Linked DNA regions of Canis lupus familiaris. The protein of the gene in region 1 purifies or fractionates together with the protein of each later gene. This does not show direct contact. Links are inferred from orthologs where the notes say so. Each region holds a gene or a part of one and is shown in the gene's direction. Other genes may lie near its edges. The genes, in order: AURKB, PPP6C, G3BP2, CDC37 and SEC16A.

Region 1 (3,174 bases):
GCTCCTTCTCAGACTCAGCCTGGCCTGAACACCCTGCCCCAGAGAGTCCTCCGGAAGGACCCCGCCACCCCGTCTGCACTTGTCCTCATGAGCCGCTCCAATGGCCAGCCCACAGGTAACTGGGATGTGGTACAGGATTGAGGGGAGGCAACTAGAGTCTCCAGGGAGGGTGCAAGGCTGAAAATGTCAAAGGCGGGGCCTCAACTCACCTGTTGCTTCCTTAGCTGCCCCTGGCCAGAAGGTGGTGGAGAACAGCAGTGGGATACCCAACTTCTCAATGTGAGTACCCAAGCCTTGCTTGGGGTGGCACAAGAGAAGGTGGGACATGAGAGAGGTGGCCACCCAGGGGAGGAGCATGGATGCAGGAATGTGAGAAAGTCTAATTCCATCCTTAACTCATCCTCAACTCCCTGGGGAAAAGGGGCAGGGCTGAGCAGGGGCAGGCGGGCTGGGGGACAGGGGAGAATGTGGCCAGCTCGGGGGACCCACCAGCCACCACTTGGCCCCTTCCCCCCCACCTCCAATCAGGCGGTCCTTCACCATCGACGACTTTGAGATTGGGCGTCCTCTGGGCAAAGGCAAGTTTGGAAATGTGTACTTGGCTCGGGAGAAGAAAAGCCATTTCATCGTGGCTCTCAAGGTCCTCTTCAAGTCTCAGATAGAAAAGGAGGGCGTGGAACACCAGCTGCGCAGGGAGATTGAAATCCAGGCCCATCTGCAGTATGAGTCCTACCCTGCCACTGGCCCCAGGCCCTTTGCTCCTCCCCCAGCTCCTCTTTCACCCAACCTGCCCCATCCAGACTGCTCTGTACCTGTCCCAGAGCCCCTCTGAGCTCCCACTAAGCTCCCAGCCCCAGCCAGAGTCTTGAATCCAGAGAGCCACCTCTGGCTCCCCTTCACCACCACCAGCCCCACTGTCCCTGGTCTGGTCCAGATGTGACCCCAGTGTGTTCCCCCTGCCACTGTCATCGTTCCCATTTCCTTAGGCCAGGATGCCGCCTGAGTCCCCGTCCCTGTCTCCCGCAGGCATCCCAACATCCTGCGTCTCTACAACTATTTCTACGACCGGAGAAGGATCTACTTGATTCTGGAGTATGCCCCCCGAGGGGAGCTCTACAAGGAGCTGCAGAAAAGCCACACTTTCGACGAGCAGCGAACAGCCACGGTCGGGGAGGGTGGGCACTTGGGGCCTCCAAGGGGGCCGAGCCTGGGGGTCCGCTGCGTGGAGCTGTAGCGGGGGCAGCCTTGGCTAACCTGCTGTCATTCGTTGGCCCCCCCAGATCATGGAGGAGCTGGCGGATGCTCTGATGTACTGCCACGGGAAAAAGGTGATTCACAGAGACATAAAGCCAGAGAATCTGCTCTTGGGGCTCCAGGGAGAGCTGAAGATCGCTGACTTTGGCTGGTCCGTGCACGCCCCCTCCCTAAGGTACGGTGTGAATGGTGGGGGGGGGCATTCAGAATAATACTACTCCAGGCCTTGTTACCCAGACATGTGTGGGCTCGTCCACGCGTACCTATAGACGCGGCACTCGACTTACAAAAATAGGAGCCTCACAATTCTGCTGCCCAGACTTCCTACCTGGTATACTGGGGGACCCACTCATCGTGTCGCCCAGCTCATTTGTAATGACCTCGTAGCAGTATTGTAGCTAGATGTGTAACCTGGTCCATTTCTGCAGGACATGCCTGATGCACCTTGAGGCGTCCCCACCCAGTTTTCCCGTTAATTTTAAGATTAATTCTAAAAGCATTGCTCTTAGATCTGATTATTTTGAGACACGTCCCTCCCCATGGAAATGCCAAGAGGGTGTGTAATGCTACCCCTGGGGCTCCAGGTTATATCTTCACCCTACTCCTGCCCAAGGGCCCTGCCGGGAGTTTGGTCAAAACACTCCCCTGGCACATCCTGGGGTCGTCCGGCTCCCTGTTGGGCAGCTGGGGAAAGAGGGAGGTGGTCTTCATCCAGGTCCCCCACCCTCCCACCCAGGAGGAAGACGATGTGCGGCACCTTGGACTACCTGCCTCCAGAAATGATTGAAGGGCGCATGCACAACGAGAAGGTGGACCTGTGGTGCATCGGGGTGCTCTGCTATGAGCTGCTGGTGGGCAACCCGCCATTCGAGAGCGCTTCTCACAATGAGACCTATCGGCGCATCGTCAAGGTGGGAGGGTGCCCCAGTGCCTGGCTGGGGCTTTGTGCCCACTTAGGGGGGGCCAGGGGCTGGCAGGTGCAGGGGTCCTGTGTAATTTCTCCAAATGGAATGGGGGTGGTCAAGGAGGAAGCAGCTGGGATCGAGCTAAGGGGACCCTCCTTCCTCTCCTTCTGCAGGTGGACCTGAAATTCCCCCCTTCTGTACCCACGGGAGCCCAGGACCTCATCTCCAAGCTACTCAAGCACAACCCTTCAGAACGGCTGCCCCTGTCCCAGGTCTCAGCCCACCCTTGGGTCCGGGCCCACTCTCGGAGGATGCTGCCTCCCTCTGCCGTCCAGGCCATCCCCTGACTTGTCCCTATCACTTATTCGGTTGTGTCTGTCTGTTTGCCTGTATATGTGTAGTTGGAAGAAGGGGTGCCTGGCCTGTTTTTACCTGTCTTCTACCTCCTTTTTATTTAATAAAGGCTGAAACTTTTTATACGGATGAGTTTAGATGCTTACAGGTGGAGACTGCTGGGGGTGGGGGGTGCTTCCCCAGAGGGAGAGGATGGGGCCTGGCGGGCACTGCACCACCTACCCTCGTTCTCAGCACCTCCCCATGTTGCTTCTCCCTGCTCTGACTCCCAGGGCCTGGCTGCTGGGGCCTGGGCTCCCCTCTGCTGCTCCTGGACTCCCACTGCCTCATGTGCTGCATCTAGTCTTTCCTTCTGGTTCAGTCTCTGCCAACTGAACATAGCTGCACCCTAGAAGCCGTGTTTATTTTCCTGCTCTGGTCAGGATCTAGTATAGGGCACAAAGAAGTTACATAGTCCCTAAAATCACACACCCAGACAGTGGCAGAGCCCAGTTTTAAAGTCCATATCTGGGGGCACCTGGGTGGCTCAGTGACCGAGCAGCTGCCTTCGGCTCCAGGCGTGATTCCAGGTCCTGGGATCCAGTCCCGCATCAGGCTCCCCGCAGGGACCTGCTTCTCCCTCTGCCTATGTCTCTGCCTCTCTCTCTGTGTCTCTCATGAA
Region 2 (3,762 bases), on another chromosome or scaffold:
GAGATCAGTACCTGAGCCAAAACCATGAGTTGGACACTCAACTGACTGAGCCACCCAGGCGCCCTGAGAAGTATGGTCTCAAAGGGAAGGGCTTCACGTAGATAGAAATGGACAGCAAATATTTTGGACAAATAATAGTCTACCACTTGACTGAGATTTGAACATTTCATTTATTTGCTTGCTAATTTTAAGAAGGTAGGAAAATTTTATTTAAACTTCTAAAGTTTTTTTTTTAACTTCAAGCAAGTAATAACTTCAGATTTATGAAATATTGTTATAAAGGGCAGTGTTTTATTTCTTTGAGTAGTTAACATTTAAATTTCAGTTTTGTTCACTATGACTAAGATTCTTGTATGTTTTAAGTGTTAGAAATTGAATAATTTTATTTTCAAGTATAAAAGATGATTGTATAGGAAGTGATTAGTTATAGTTGGTACAGTAAATTATAGTAAATTCCTTTAATCCAAAATCCTTAGAAAAACTGAAGTTTTCTTTAGGAATTAGGATTAAGATAATCTAGTTGACTGAAGTTACCACATGTACAATTTGTCAATTACTAATTTTCAGTCACATAGAAAATGATGAAATATACAGTTCTTTTTTACTGATTATTGAGAAGACATTCCATAGCTATAGAGCCTCCAAAGTAGAATGTGGGAGGGTAGGTTGATCTGCTTTTCATGGTAACTGTGAAGTGTCGTGTAAATTCATTCTTTGAAAAAAATTCTTACCCACTTGCTTCCTTATCTTTTGTCTCATTAAAATAGATGCTGAGTATGGGTGGGGTGGTTAGCTTAGCTTATTAACAAGTTAGATAATTGATCAGTTATTTCAAATTCTCAAGTGATAGGGCACCTGGCTGACTCAGTCAATGGAGCATGTGACTCTTGATCTTGGGGTCATGAGTTCAAGCCTCATGTTGGGCATAGAGATTACTTAAAAAAATTCTAGATGACAAGATAAATGAAAGAAATTTGAGGGAGAAGGCCTATAACATTAATGATCTAGGAATGACCTTATTGGTAATTGTGAGATTTATTTTAGTGCTTCTATTAGGCTTGAGAGCTCTGTGCTTGGCAGTTTTGCTTACACTTTATTTCTTTTTATAAGTGTCAGTATTTCAGGCCTTCCTAATTACATGCTCCTTTACACATTTCGCTCTCACTTTTATTATTTTACTCCTTTACAGGAATTTGTAATTAATCAGCATATATTGACTTTCTTTTATAGTTTTATGACCTTTGCGAACTATTCAGAACTGGAGGTCAGGTTCCTGACACAAACTACATATTTATGGTATGTAAACCCACATGATACCAAATACTTATTTAAAATGGAAAGCATCTGATTTATTACATGGAAATTATATAACAATTTCTTTGTCATATGACAATCACTTTGTAAATATATGAAAAGGTGATGCTATACTTTTCTACATTTTGCCATCTTGTCTGGTTGAAAATGATTGCTTTAGTAAATTGCCATATGCATAGGACTGGGTTCTAGGCATAAGTAATGGTTGGCAGAAAAATAACCCAGAACCTCCCAGGATTAAGGCACAGAGCTTTAATTTACTGTTATTTTATCATATCTTCTTGAGCATTCATTTTCATCTGTTATCAATTTGTAGATTGATGAATATATGAACATACATATTTGCTATTAAGGTGGATATTTGCTTACTTTCCTTTTGGAATGTCATGTTACTATTGAATTTTTTATGAATCCTATCATTTTCTTTCTTCTAGAGGTTTGTGTGTCACTTTCCTATTCTTTGAGCTGTTTTCCTATTGATCTAACAACATTGTCCCAAATAAAATACTAATGGGAAGTGTAAGTAGTATGGCTTCACAAGCAGTTGTTAAATACACAACTGAACCTAAAACACTAATTAAGGTATATACTTTTATAAAAACACTATTTCTTCAAGTTGTTAGGTTTTTTTATATAGTTACAATGATTTTTGGGATGCCTGGCTGGGTCAGTCAGGAGAGTGTGTGACTTGATCTCAGGGTCATGAGTTTGAGCCCCACTTTGGGTGTAGAGATTACTTAAACATTTAAAAATAATAATTAAATGATTTTTGAAATTCATTAAAAAATTTTGGATTCACATGTGACCTTTTTGAAACACCTGCTAATGTAGGTAATAGAGAATTAGAAAAATGGTGGTTTTTCAGGGAAGATCCTTCAGAGAATTGGATAGCAGGTTCCTGTAGGCCTCCTGAATCATAAGACTGGCACACTTAGTAGAGACTGCTTATTTACTTCGATTTGAATTTTTTGTTAAAACCCAATTTCCAAATAAATCAATGTATGACCCTTCAATTTTGTTATTTTTTTTTTTTTGCCATGTCTCTGAGTTTGTACACCTTGGTATAATTTAAAAAATACATTGTTGCTATTATTTCTAACTGTAAACTTTTACTTTACAGGGTGATTTTGTAGACAGAGGTTACTATAGTTTGGAGACCTTCACTTACCTTCTTGCACTAAAGGCTAAATGGCCTGATCGTATCACACTTTTGCGAGGAAATCATGAAAGTAGACAGATAACACAGGTGTATGGATTTTATGGTAAGACTTTCTATTTCTCTGATTCTCTGAATATTGCTTTCCTTTCCTCTTTGGGAAAAAAGCCATACAAGTCATACATGTGCTTTATATAAAGTTAGAAATATAAATCATCTTTTTCCACTTTTTAACTCCTCCTCTTCCCCCATTCAACTGAGAACCTTACCATGGAGAGAGAACTGTTCTTAATTTTTTGATGTACATCATCCTGGATCATTGCCCTAAAGTGTAGCCCTCAGTTTACATCATTGGAATCATCAGGGGTACTTGTTAAACATGTACATTGCTGGGCCCCCACTGAAAACCTGTTGGAGTGGGAATCCTAGAATCTGCTGAAGGTAAATGTTCTGCACTTGAAAGTTGAGAACCTATTATATATTATATGTATATGTGTGTGTATGTGTGTGTTTATAAACATATTTGTGTGTGTACATACCTGCTTTTTTCACTTAATGCTGTGACCAGCCTTTCTTTACTTCATTGACATTATTTTTATAGTTGCATTATATTACACTGTATGGATGTACTATAATTGATTAAATCAGTACCTTTAACATTGGACATTGGAGTTGGGTTTTTTTTTTTTTTTTTGGAGTTGTTTTTAAGTTGCTGACATATATAATATTGTATGTGTATAACATATATAATTATGTATATATATGTGTGTGTATCCATATGTTCCATCCAGAGAGTGCTAGGACCTCAGGGGTCAGAAACAGAACTTAGCCATTAAAAGCAAAATATATCTGCTTCTATAAAACTTGTATATGGTTGAAAGTTTTAAAAAATGAAGTTAGGAAAAAAAATTAGGTTACAAAGCTCTTTGAAGGAGATAGAGAGCAGGACTGTTGAGGTTATTAACATGAATTTTCCTTAAGCTTAATTAAGGCATATATTGAGATATTTGAAAATATTAATCTCATAACCCTTTAGTTTCAGATTTTATATTTTGGATTCTCTTATGTCATTATAAAGATGAGCTAAACTCTTATTTGTAAGCCACTATCAATTACTAAATTGAGAAATTTTGATAATTTATTATTATATGTTAATAGTAATTGATAAGTTAGATGGCTAATATTTGTCCCCTTTTTACAAGTTACTTTTGATTTTCATTCACAAAATAACAAGTACCATTTAAAATAAAAGTTTTTGATTCTTTTGCAAAATAGTCAATAATTTGGATAGT
Region 3 (3,762 bases), on another chromosome or scaffold:
AAAAATACATTTACAGTAACTCTCAGAAAAAAATCATGTGTAAGTGGAGTCATGCAGTTCAAACTTGTGTTGTTCAAGGGTCAACTGTAATTTATTTGAGCTTTGTGTGTGTGTATACACTTTGCCTATCTTTTTAATTTCTTTTCACTTTGCCTATTTAGAAGTAAAAGTCTATTGATACAAATAACAATAGATGACTAAGATTACAGGAATAATATAAAATCTTACTTAGTAATTTCTATGTTAAAATGGCAATGTATCATTTGTTAATCAGTCTTGGTTCTCTGTTGAGTAGCCGTTTCTTGAGTTCCAGTATTTGAATGGTCTACAGTATACTTTATATTAATATAGCATGTTCTATTCTAGAAAATTATATGTAGTCTACATTATATTTTATAGTGTTAAAATAGATATTGCGGGTATCTGGGTAGCTCAGTCATTAAGCATCTGCCTTTGGCTTAGATCCTGATCCCAGAGTCCTGGGATTGAGCCCCAATTGGGCTCTCTGCTCAGTGCTGAGCCTGGTTTCCCTCTGCCTGCCTCTGTCTCTCTCTCTCTCTCTCTCACGAATAAACAAAATTAAAAAAAAAAAAAAAAGATTTTGCATGTGCCATGTAATTTGTTCTTTTTATTCATTGTCACGTTTGTGTGTATTTAATGGAATATTTGGATTTCATTTTCCTGTAGGGATCTGTTCCAAATAAGTTTTATGTTCATAATGATATGTTTCGTTATGAAGATGAAGTGTTTGGTGATTCTGAACCAGAACTTGATGAAGGTGAGGTTAAGATAGGCGGCTTCTATTGGTACTCGTTAAGGGCATGAAAAGTATGAAACTTTATTTATTTATTTATTTATTTATTTATTTTAAGTATGAAACTTAAAAAAAAAAAGTATGAAACTTCAAGAAATTTACTGCTATTGTAACTGAGTCAAGCCCCCTTTTCTTCCTTTTGTTAAAAAGAAATGTGTTCATTGTATGAAATTATATAAAAATCAGACATAGAAAGTAAACCAAATTTCATTCTTATCCTTTATATATAATCAAGAATTTTGTTGAGTCATATCCTTAGCAATATATATTTTTGTAAAAATGGAATTGTGGTGGTTCAAAGCTTTTTTCCACTTAATATATCTTTGTTAACTGTCAATTTTTTGGCTATATCATAATTATTTACTATATGTATATTTGGTTTGATTATACTATTGAATAGATGGGACATAGGAAACTGAGTTATGGTTTAATATCATTTATTTCCTGCCCTTTTCTAATTTTTAGATATTTTTTTAAAAATAGGGACACCTGGGTGGCTCAGTCAGTTAAGTATCGACTCTTGATCTTGGCTCAGGTCATGATCTCATGATCATGAGTTCGACTCTGTGTTGGGCTCCACGTTGGGTGTAGAACCTACATAAAAAAATAATAAAAATGGAGTAAATACCAAAATTCATCTTGCTTGCTCTTTAATTGTTAAGAGAACAGAGAATGCTGCATTTGAGCACCTTAGTGAGAAATAGGTCAATTTTTAAAACTTACCACTTAAACATTAAAAGTATGCATATGAAATTGTTGAGCCTCTTGAAAAAGAAATGTGTGTTATGTATTGTCAGAATCAGAAGATGAGGTAGAAGAGGAACAAGAAGAAAGGCAACCATCTCCAGAACCTGTGCAAGAAAATGCTGATAGTGGTTACTATGAAGCTCACCCCGTGGCGTAAGAATAGTGTTTGCAAGGCCAGATTTGGTCTAAACTATAATGTAGTTGCAAGGTGGTTTTTGTTACTGGAATTACTATTAGAAGTAAATTTTTGATAAAGGTATCAGGCCAGTATTTGAGTACTTTATATATATATATGTAAGAAATTTTAGAAAGAGTTGTTTTATTTACATAACAAATCGAATATGGTTTTGCCCAAAACAGTGTTTACTTACTGATAAGAATAGTTAGGAATACACAGAGCATTTCATTTTTATAAAAACGAGGTTTATTTATAGTTAGTATTCAAGTAAATATTTTTAGTAATTTAACAATCCCATTTTAAAATGGCAGGGTTAAAGAAATGCTGCTTAAGACTATTATTCCCTTCTGCCTTCTTATTGGACTTCTGCTTCAAATCAGCTTATTACCAGTTATGGCCATTAGATTAGAGAAATATTACATTGTTTTATTACAACTGATCATTTCGCTCATACTGAAAAATGAACAAAATATTTTATTTTAGTAATGGCATAGAGGAGCCTTTGGAAGAATCCTCTCATGAACCTGAACCTGAGCCAGACTCTGAAACAAAGACTGAAGAACTAAAGCCACAAGTAGAGGAGAAGAACTTAGAAGAGTTAGAGGAGAAGTCTACTTCTCCTCCTCCTGCAGAACCTGTTTCTCTGCCACAGGAACCACCAAAGGTTAGATCAAAGGAAGTCTTTAGGCCTATAACAGCACACTTTCACATTTGGTGCCATTGATGAAGCATGACCTTTGTTCTCTTATGTTAAATGGTTTAATATAGTAAACTGTGCTTTTTAATGTTTATGGGAGCTGTGGGGTTTTTGTAATCCTGAGGGAATTTCTTTGTATTCATGCCCCGCAACCCCCCAAAATACCCCTGAGAGTGAAACTTATGATTGATCCTTGTCTGTATGCAGTGTTTATTTAGTCTCTTACATGAAATTATTTGAGTCCATGTATAAAGCTGAGAGTTGCTCTTCCATTCTGTATAAGTCCTCTATGCACGGATGCAACTGGAGTCATGAAGTTGCCCAACTTAAACAAGTTGGGCTATTAAAAGAAGAGATACATGTTATTTCTGGTTAAAATGGGAGCAATTTCCTTACTACACCTATTAAACTGTCTTGGAAAGATACGTGACACCCATAGTGTATCATTTAAGCCTACCTAAAACATCTTTTATCTTTCTGTAAAGTAGGTTAAAATATATATGGGTAGTGAGAGGAGATTCCTTGTTTAATTTGTGAATGTCTGTTAAAGTTCCAGTGAGTACTCTTCTTTCCTATCCTTCCCCTCAACACCATCACACACCTTACTTTCCCCCAAAAGGGGAAAGAAATTGGTTCTATTAGGTTCTTATTTTTCTAGCATGTGTAGTTAGTGGTTTTGTTTGCCATTGATCATCTCCTTAGAGCATATAGGAACTTGCTTGTGGATTTATTTAGTAGTTCAGACAAAACAAATAATCTTGCAAAATGAGATTTTGAAAGCTGGCACATAGACTGGCATGTGTGTGTGTGCCTTTCCTTTGAGGAGTCCTCCAATATAGAACAATAGTTTAGAAATGAAAAGAAAATATATATTTGGAAGTTTCCCTATAGGAATGTTGGTGGTTTTCCATGATTAGTAGTCTAGGTTTGTTGCATTTCCTGCAGGCTTTCTCCTGGGCTTCAGTGACCAGTAAAAACCTGCCTCCTAGTGGTACTGTTTCTTCCTCTGGAATTCCACCCCATGTTAAAGCACCAGTCTCACAGGTAACCAATCTGTGAACACATTGGATTGTATCCTTGTTACATTGCCAATTGCTTATCTTTTTTTATACTTCTTTAAATGAGTCAATCAAATTATGGATTAAATATACAAAAAAATTGTATTAAATGTCAGTGCACCCACTTTAAATGCCAAATCTCTATCATCATTTGGGGTTTGGGTGTGAAATACACATTAAGTTGGTTTTACTGATAGAGTCATTTAAAAGGCTTCTTAAAATAACAAAAAAAATGTTCCTTTTAAAGTTCTAAAATTCATAGCAAAAA
Region 4 (3,762 bases), on another chromosome or scaffold:
AGAGAAGGCTCAAGGCTTCCCCATTCTCACCTACTGCGTGCCTGACTCTGCTCAAACTTGGAGATACAGCCTCAGAGAAGGCCCAGAAGTGAGTGAGTGAACCACTCTGGGGCCAGTGGCCAGGATGGTGACGCTAACAGCGGAATGTGTTCATTACGTAGGACTGCGTGCAGTTTCCTGGGAGTAACTCCTTTGATGCTGCGTTTTTCCCAAAGAGGAACTAACTCCAAGGCTAGAAGTGTTTAAGTGTCTTAGCCAAGGTCACGTCACCAGTACGCGGTGGAGCTGGGTGATGTGACAGTGCGGTAACAACCACTCCCAGGTATTGAGCATGTGCTCTGGGTTGGAAATTGATGGAAACACTCGAAGTATGCTTTCTTGTTTGAGCCCCAGAATGGTCAAGAGAGAGAGAGAGATTGTCCCCTTGGATAGTAATGGCAGTCGCCACCACGGGAATGGTGCTTGCCGAGCATCCAGCATGGCTCTGGACTGTCTACTTTGACTTAAATCTCCTTTGCTTCTCCTGGTGCCGCTCGGTGAGGTCGGTACTGTTGTCTGCCTTTGACAGATGAGGAAACGGAGGTCCCTAGAGGTCAGGGGATTGACCCAAGGACCCCAGCCTATACTCAGTAGCCACGGCTTATGACTCCACATCTGGGGCCCTGAGGCTGTTCTCCAGTGTCTTATCATGCTGTCTGATGATCTTAAAGGGGGCTTTGAGGCACAGTGATGGGGAATGGGGGGCCCTTGGGGAAGGCTCTGTAGAAGCTGAGACCTGGGGCCAAAGGACATGGAGTGAGAGGAAGAGAGTTCCAGGTAGAAGGAGCAGCCTTTGCAGAGTCCAAGAGTCAAGAGCGAGCTGGTGCATTTGGGATCTGCCTGCAACCTAGAATTGGGAAAGGAGAATGGGACCCTGGCCCCCTGGGGCCTTGGTGCCACTTGGGCAGCTTGGAGTAAGGCTTTGGGATCCCATCTGAGCGTAGACGCTCCAGGTTGGGGTGGCAAGAAGGGCTGCAGACAGATGTGCGAATTTCCAAGACTGGCAGTCTAGCTTGGAACAGCTGTGGAAGGTGGTGGCACCTCTCAGGGCTCAGTCAGGGGCTTTGGATTGAGCAGGCACTGCTGAGAGCTGGGGGAGATGATGGAGCAAAGCAAGGGTGGAGGACAGACAGGGCCATGTCATGTTGTAGAGAGTCTTGTGGGGACCGGAGCGAGAGGGGGAACGAGGGCACCATCTGAACTTGGGGTGCAACAGCAGAGGAGGTCTGGGGAGCAACAGCTGGGGTAGGGGGGACAGGAGGCCGGTGGGCACCGAGCTAAGGCTCAGGGTGGGTGTGCTGGCCCGGAGACATAGCTGATGGGGCCTTGGGCAGCCATCCAGGAGTAGTTCTCTGGGTGGACCAAATTGGAGAGACTTCTAGAAGCGAAAGCTGTCAGGACTGGGTAGGAAAGAGGGAGGAAAGGACAGGACCAGTGAACAGGCCTCAGTGGGGGGCATCGGAGGTTGTTGGGCAAGGGAGGGCACCTGAGTGTCACTGAGGGCGGCTCCGGGGAGGACGAGTGGCCTGAGACCCCCATCCAGTATTTCCTTACTTTATTCATCCAACAAGTGTCTCCTGAGCCTTGACTGTGCACTTGTGTGTGAGACACAAGTGAGCAGATCCCCCATCTCTAGGGACCCCACTCCTCAGAGAGGGACAGTGTTGAGAACAGTAAATAATTGTCACCAGGTTGCCACCAGATGCTAGCAGGTAATGAGTGCTGAGGAGGAAGGTGAAACAGGGCACAAGTAAGGGGAGGTTGCCATCTTCATTCAGCAGGGTGGTCAGGGAAGGGCCTCATCTGTAAAGTGATGTTTGAGCCAAGATGGCAAGGATGTGAGGGAGTAAGCTGGTTTGGGTGCCAGTGGGGGGAGTCTGGAGAGAGAACTTTCCAGGCTGGGGCAACAGCTAGTGCAAAGGCCCTGAGTTTAGAAGTGGGTTCAAGAAAAGACAAAGCAGCTACTGTGACTGGAGGGAGGGGGCAGATTGTGCAGGGCCTTGTAGGTCATAGATAGGACTTGGTTTTCTGCTCTGAGTGACATGGATGCCACAGAGCCTTCTGAGCAGGGTTGGGGGTGGACACACACAAAGTAAGGTGTGTGCAGGTATCCTGGTGGGATGGAAGCTGCCCCCCCAGGGGGGCACAGAGGGTGGTGCACACATTCCCTGAGGCCATCCCAGGTGCAGGGGGTGGGAGCCCTGGGTGGGGCAGGGCCGAGGTCAAGGGACCAGCCTTTCCCCGGAGTGCAGGGCTTGTGTCTGCCCGCAGGCCCGGGTGGAGCGCATGGAGCAGTTCCAGAAGGAGAAGGAGGAGCTGGACAGGGGCTGCCGCGAGTGCAGGCGCAAGGTGGCTGAGTGCCAGCGGAAGCTGAAGGAGCTGGAGGTGGCCGAGGGCGAGGGCAGCAAGGTGGAGCTGGAACGGCTGCAGGCCGAGGCTCAGCAGCTGCGCAAGGAGGAGCGGAGCTGGGAGCAGAAGCTGGAGGAGATGCGCAAGAAGGAGAAGAGCATGCCCTGGAACGTGGACACGCTCAGCAAGGACGGTTTCAGCAAGGTGGGAGGGGGCCAGCAGGGTTCCCCCCATGCAGGGGCTGGTGGGGTAGGTGGGGGTAAGGCCTGGACAGCTCAAGGGAGGGACGCCCTGGCATGGAGAGGGTGGAGGGACAGGTGTGGGGCTGGGTGGATGAAGCACCCCACTGGTACCCCCCTCTGATCTGCCCGAAGGCCCTAGTTCGAGGCCACACCTGCCACACCCACGCTCCCGCCACACTGATGCTCATGGCGCCGTCACCACCTCCGCCGTGGAAGGGATGGGCGCTGCGGCCTCGGCCCACCCGGCCGTGCTGGAGGCGCTCTGCGGCCTCGCCCCAGCCCACTCCCCCTCTCGCCCCATCACAGAGCATGGTCAATACCAAACCAGAGCAGGCGGAGGAGGAGTCGGAGGAGGTGAGGGAGCAGAAACACAAAACCTTCGTGGAGAAGTACGAGAAACAGATCAAGCACTTTGGTGAGTTGGGCCGTTGGAGGGGGCCGGCAGGCTAAGGTTAGGAGGTTACACAGGACAGGGGCTGGTCCTCTGCCTCTGGGGCCCCTCAGCACCTTGCCAACACCTTCTCGTAGGCATGCTCCGCCGCTGGGATGACAGCCAGAAGTACCTATCAGACAATGTCCACCTGGTGTGCGAGGAGACAGCCAACTACCTGGTCATCTGGTGCATTGACCTAGAGGTGGAGGAGGTGAGTGGAGTCTACCCCGGGACTAGGGGAAAGCCCTGCCCTGAGGCCACCACTTGGTGACATCCTACCTCTTCTCCCTTGGCAGAAATGTGCACTCATGGAGCAAGTGGCCCACCAGACCATTGTCATGCAGTTCATCCTGGAGCTGGCTAAGAGCCTGAAGGTGGATCCCCGTGCCTGCTTCCGGCAGTTCTTCACTAAGATCAAGGTAGTGTCCCCGAGGAGCCAGGGTCGGGTGGGGTGTGGGCCTCTTCAAGGCACCAGCCTCCATCTACAGGGGGTATATACAAAGGTCCATTCAGACTTGGGGCCGTGGGATCAGAACCTGTTCGATCAGGGGAGGCTGGAGACATGGAGGGGCCAGTAGTCAGCCCCCGGTTTGAAAGACGGGGTGTGTGGACAGTCCCGACGTGGGGTGAGGGACAGAGTCAAGGATGCCTTAGGGTTCCCTCACCTGAGCACCTGGAAGCACAGAGCTGCCCATGATG
Region 5 (3,762 bases), on another chromosome or scaffold:
TGGGTGACCTACTGAGCCCTGGCGGAGGAGAAGGAAGGTGGTGGGGAGGGATCCACGAACACTGAGTTCTGTTGCAGGCAGCTGTTCCCCAGGCTGCATTGGGGTCTCGCTGAGTCTTAAAGCCTGGGCCCCATGTAACATTTAATGACATCCTCCTCTTGACCTTAAAAGTTTGTGTTCTGCTTTTCCCCAAATCACTGATGCCCTGGCATCGTCAGCACTTTCTGTCTTGACGATTTGCTCCCTGGGCCCGTAACAAAAGAAACGTGGCCGCACAAAAGGATGTGATAAACTTTTGGCCACCACCAGTTAGCTTCTTCAAGTGATTGGAGTTAGCACCAGTGACGGCAGGCTTCTGTTCTCTGCTCTCTTGCTGCAGCTCCGTCAACGCTCCCTGCCAGCCAGCCAGTCGTCCCTGCCAGGGTGCCACTGTTCCCGGTGCTGCCACCTGAGGGCCCTGTTGAGCTGGGGCCTAGCTGTGGACCCCAAGGGGCTGCCCTTGGCTTTCCAGAGCCCTCTGGGCCTGACCCTGTGGCTCCGTACCTGGGGCCTGGCCTGCCACCTGGTGTGCCACCTCTGCAGGGAAGTGAGCAGGAGGCCAGGACCCAGGACCCAGGTAGGCCTGCTTGATGCCACCCCGAGAGCAGAACTGTAGTGGGTTTGGCATTCAAGGAGAGGATTGGTGGAAAAGCCATAAGTCATTTGGACTTGAGACAAGTTCCCTAGCCAGGGCATGCTGAGGATCCTGGAAGCGGTAGGCTGGGTGGCTCATGGATGTCAGTGCTCATTTGTTTTGTGATGTGGCTGCGTGTTAGAGTAAGGAGGGTAAGTGGGCATCCAGCTGTGGCAAGCTGGCCTTGAGCTGTGCCCAGGCCAAAGCCTCCTCCACAATTGATATGGTTCTTGTGCCGGTGGGCGCCTGCCTGCCTGTGCACCCACAAACAAAGCAAAACACTGGCCTGGCTTTCAAAAGGAAGCTATTTTGGGAACATCTCTGGTTTTGGGCTCCGAGCACTGCTGTATTGTGAGCGCGTCCGTCTGCCATGTGCTGTGGTCTCTGTGCTGTGTCAGCATAGAGACCACGGCAGTTCTCTCTTCTCTTGACAGGGGTGTTGCCACCAGAGGCGCTTGGTAGAAACTCACTTCTGGAGCTGAGAGAAGAGGGTTTTGGTGGAAAATTTGCTAATCTGGTACCCTCCCACTTTTTTCCCCTAAGCTCTTTGTTTTCCATAAGTTGCGTTGATCAGGAGCCCAAACTTGTTCTCCAGTTGTGAGTAGGGGGAGAACGGTGTAAACAAGATTATCTTTGAAGTTGCTCCTCAGCAGGAGAGCACTTGTAAGGTAGCTCGAACCCTCACAGTGTGAACGGTCGGTGGAAACTGCTGAGGAGGATGATCACTTGGTGTACAGACAGTCCCTTCTCTAAAACGTAGAGGCCTCCCAGGTTCTGCACCCCTTTCTCTGCAGTAGAATCCCGGAAACGCACTGGTTGTCCTGAAATCACCGAGTTTCTTAGACGTGTTGGGTAGACATACCGGGTCTGCTGCTCTGGCCCCAGCGGAGAGGGACACCTGGTTTTCTGCGCCGTGGGTCCCGCAGCCTTCTTCCCACAAACCCAGGCCTTTGTGGCCACGCTGTCACAGGCACTTACTGTACTTTAAACTTTCCTTATGTGTTCTGCCATGAAAATGCTTTATTTTCACGTAAAAAGAGTTTATAAAAGAGACAGTCTTCACTCAGCCATGTGTATTTTAAAGAAAAAAAAAAGAATCTTGTGTTTTAAAATGTTCCCTGCCCCTCTCTGCCCAGCAGCCCATTGGTGCTCACATGCACACCCCTTCTTCCAGCCCATGGGTGCCTCCTGGACTCCATGGTCCCCCTGCCACGTGCCTTGGCACGTTATGAGTCCTGCCACGTGCCTTGACCAGGTTGCTTGTAAGAGCAGGTCCGGAGGCAGGGGCAGCTGCCTCCTGCCCTCCTCACTCTGCTCTTGTCGCTAGTGATATGGCCCCTTGGTAATGCTTTAAAGGGTCCTGGGGAGGTGCCCCAGGTGAACCTGTCCCCTCTTGCCTTGGGACAGGGCCCCTCCAGGATGTCCCAGGACTCTGAGGTCCCTCCAGGGTGGGAGTGTGCCAGCTCAGGTGCTCTGCAGCCACCACTGACGTCCGCTCCCGAAGTGAAGAGACCTACACAAGCAGCCAGGAAAGAGGCCAAGGAGCCTAAGAAGGTGACACAGAGCCCACCTCCAGCAGGGTGGGGGCGCCTGGGGAGGGGGCTCAGCTCCCACAGACAACTTTCCTCCTACACTGGCAGTGGGACAAAGGCATTGGAAGCGTGCTATGCGGACAGGGAGGTGTGCACAGCTTAATGTGTGTTTGTGTGTCTGTCCCCGTATAACCACCACCCAGAGCATAGCTGGAGCAGGGCCAGCCTCCCAGAAGGCTCTGTATCCAGGGCCTGTCAAGGCCCACCCCTAACAGATGGCCTTCTCTGACTTTTGTCACCATTAGTTTCTCTTATACCAGAACTTCCTATAACAGTGCTTAATTTTTAAGTCATTGTATAATAGTATCTGTTTTATGTAGGTGCTATAATTTTGTTCGTCCTTTTTTCCAGTAATGGACATTTGCGGTTTTTCAGTTTGGGGTCATTACGTGAAACCCATGTGAGCGTTCTCTGTCTTCTGTTGGCGAAAGCGCTCGTTTCTCTCAGGGAGGTGCCTCCAGGCCATTTTCCTGGACGGTTGTACTGGGTGACCTTCCCCCCAGCAGAGCCGGAGGGGCCCAGTCATTCCTTGTCACCAGCAGGGCGATCCTTGTTCCCCATGCGCACTGGGTTGTCGGGCCTTTCCACAGCAGCCTCTCAGCGGGGGCTCATGGTGCTTCCTAATGCTCTCGCTTTGCTTCCTTGCCCAGCACCTTTGTCATGTGCCGTTACCACCTGTGTGTTTTCCTTTGTAGTGTTGGCTTGTGTCTCACCCGCTTTCATGTCCTGGCCACGAGTCCTCTGTGAGATGTGTGCGTCACCAGGATCTTCCCTCAGTCTGCAGACCACCTTTTTACTCTCAATGTTAGCTTACGTAGGACACATTCTTAATTTTCATGCAGTTCAGCATATCGAATTTTTTTTAATGGTTAGTGGTTTCTGGTGGTTTTTTTGTTGTTGTTTTTTCAAGATGTATCCATTTTAGAAACAGTGAGAGCAGGCACTCGGGGGAGGAGCAGAGGGAGACCCAAGCAGACTCTCTAAAGGGCCCTGACTTGGGGCTCAATCCCACAGCTCAGATCTTGGCTTAAGCCGAAACCAAGAGTCAGATGCTCAACCCACTAGGCTGCCCAGGTGTCCCTTAATGGCCAGCATCGTTAAGGAAACACAAGTTTAATTCAGAGTGTGCATGGGCCTGGGCTAAAATATGACGCTCTGACCCGTTGTGAGCGTGCAGACTGTGTCGCCTCCACCGTGGAGCTCAGAGTGGCGGGTTTGAGAACACACACACCTGCTGCTTCCTTGTTTCTCCATATTTTAGATAAACTGAAGTATAGCGTATGAAGAATAAGGTAAGCGTCCCTGACACCTAAATCCACCCAGCATAGGACGCAGGGCGACAGACTGTGTTGAGGAGGTCCCACAGGACATTCCCAGCCTGCTCGCCACTGCTTAGTCCAGAACAATGCCAGAATCTGCCACTCGTTGGCATTTAGACAGGATAAGCTCTAAAAGGCTCAGTGTTCAGATGTTTTAATTGTGGCAAAATACACGTAA

The links.
Region 2: the proteins of AURKB (region 1) and PPP6C purify together in Homo sapiens (affinity purification with mass spectrometry, with the first as the bait; 3 studies listed by BioGRID). This does not show direct contact. The link is inferred for Canis lupus familiaris from reciprocal best matches to the Homo sapiens genes AURKB and PPP6C.
Region 3: the proteins of AURKB (region 1) and G3BP2 purify together in Homo sapiens (affinity purification with mass spectrometry; 3 studies listed by BioGRID and IntAct, with this or other methods). This does not show direct contact. The link is inferred for Canis lupus familiaris from reciprocal best matches to the Homo sapiens genes AURKB and G3BP2.
Region 4: the proteins of AURKB (region 1) and CDC37 purify together in Homo sapiens (affinity purification with mass spectrometry; 7 studies listed by BioGRID and IntAct, counting the BioPlex papers as one, with this or other methods). This does not show direct contact. The link is inferred for Canis lupus familiaris from reciprocal best matches to the Homo sapiens genes AURKB and CDC37.
Region 5: the proteins of AURKB (region 1) and SEC16A purify together in Homo sapiens (affinity purification with mass spectrometry; 3 studies listed by BioGRID and IntAct, with this or other methods). This does not show direct contact. The link is inferred for Canis lupus familiaris from reciprocal best matches to the Homo sapiens genes AURKB and SEC16A.

What each region holds. Positions count from the first base shown.
Region 1 is NC_049226.1:33,219,107-33,222,280, reverse strand, and holds the end of AURKB (aurora kinase B), read left to right. Parts: intron 1-12; coding exon 13-115; intron 116-224; coding exon 225-279; intron 280-528; coding exon 529-720; intron 721-1,026; coding exon 1,027-1,165; coding exon of another isoform or gene 1,166-1,175; intron 1,176-1,280; coding exon 1,281-1,429; intron 1,430-1,990; coding exon 1,991-2,165; intron 2,166-2,332; coding exon 2,333-2,506; 3' UTR 2,507-2,636; downstream 2,637-3,174. UniProt on the Homo sapiens protein: Serine/threonine-protein kinase component of the chromosomal passenger complex (CPC), a complex that acts as a key regulator of mitosis.
Region 2 is NC_049230.1:57,997,754-58,001,515, forward strand, and holds part of PPP6C (serine/threonine-protein phosphatase 6 catalytic subunit), read left to right. Parts: intron 1-1,230; coding exon 1,231-1,296; intron 1,297-2,434; coding exon 2,435-2,576; intron 2,577-3,762.
Region 3 is NC_049253.1:39,960,891-39,964,652, forward strand, and holds part of G3BP2 (ras GTPase-activating protein-binding protein 2), read left to right. Parts: intron 1-687; coding exon 688-778; intron 779-1,611; coding exon 1,612-1,714; intron 1,715-2,222; coding exon 2,223-2,403; intron 2,404-3,381; coding exon 3,382-3,480; intron 3,481-3,762.
Region 4 is NC_049241.1:51,128,739-51,132,500, forward strand, and holds part of CDC37 (hsp90 co-chaperone Cdc37), read left to right. Parts: intron 1-2,310; coding exon 2,311-2,592; intron 2,593-2,936; coding exon 2,937-3,045; intron 3,046-3,158; coding exon 3,159-3,274; intron 3,275-3,359; coding exon 3,360-3,482; intron 3,483-3,762. UniProt on the Homo sapiens protein: Co-chaperone that binds to numerous kinases and promotes their interaction with the Hsp90 complex, resulting in stabilization and promotion of their activity. Inhibits HSP90AA1 ATPase activity.
Region 5 is NC_049230.1:49,049,975-49,053,736, forward strand, and holds part of SEC16A (protein transport protein Sec16A), read left to right. Parts: intron 1-379; coding exon 380-616; intron 617-1,107; coding exon 1,108-1,190; intron 1,191-2,080; coding exon 2,081-2,227; intron 2,228-3,762. UniProt on the Homo sapiens protein: Acts as a molecular scaffold that plays a key role in the organization of the endoplasmic reticulum exit sites (ERES), also known as transitional endoplasmic reticulum (tER).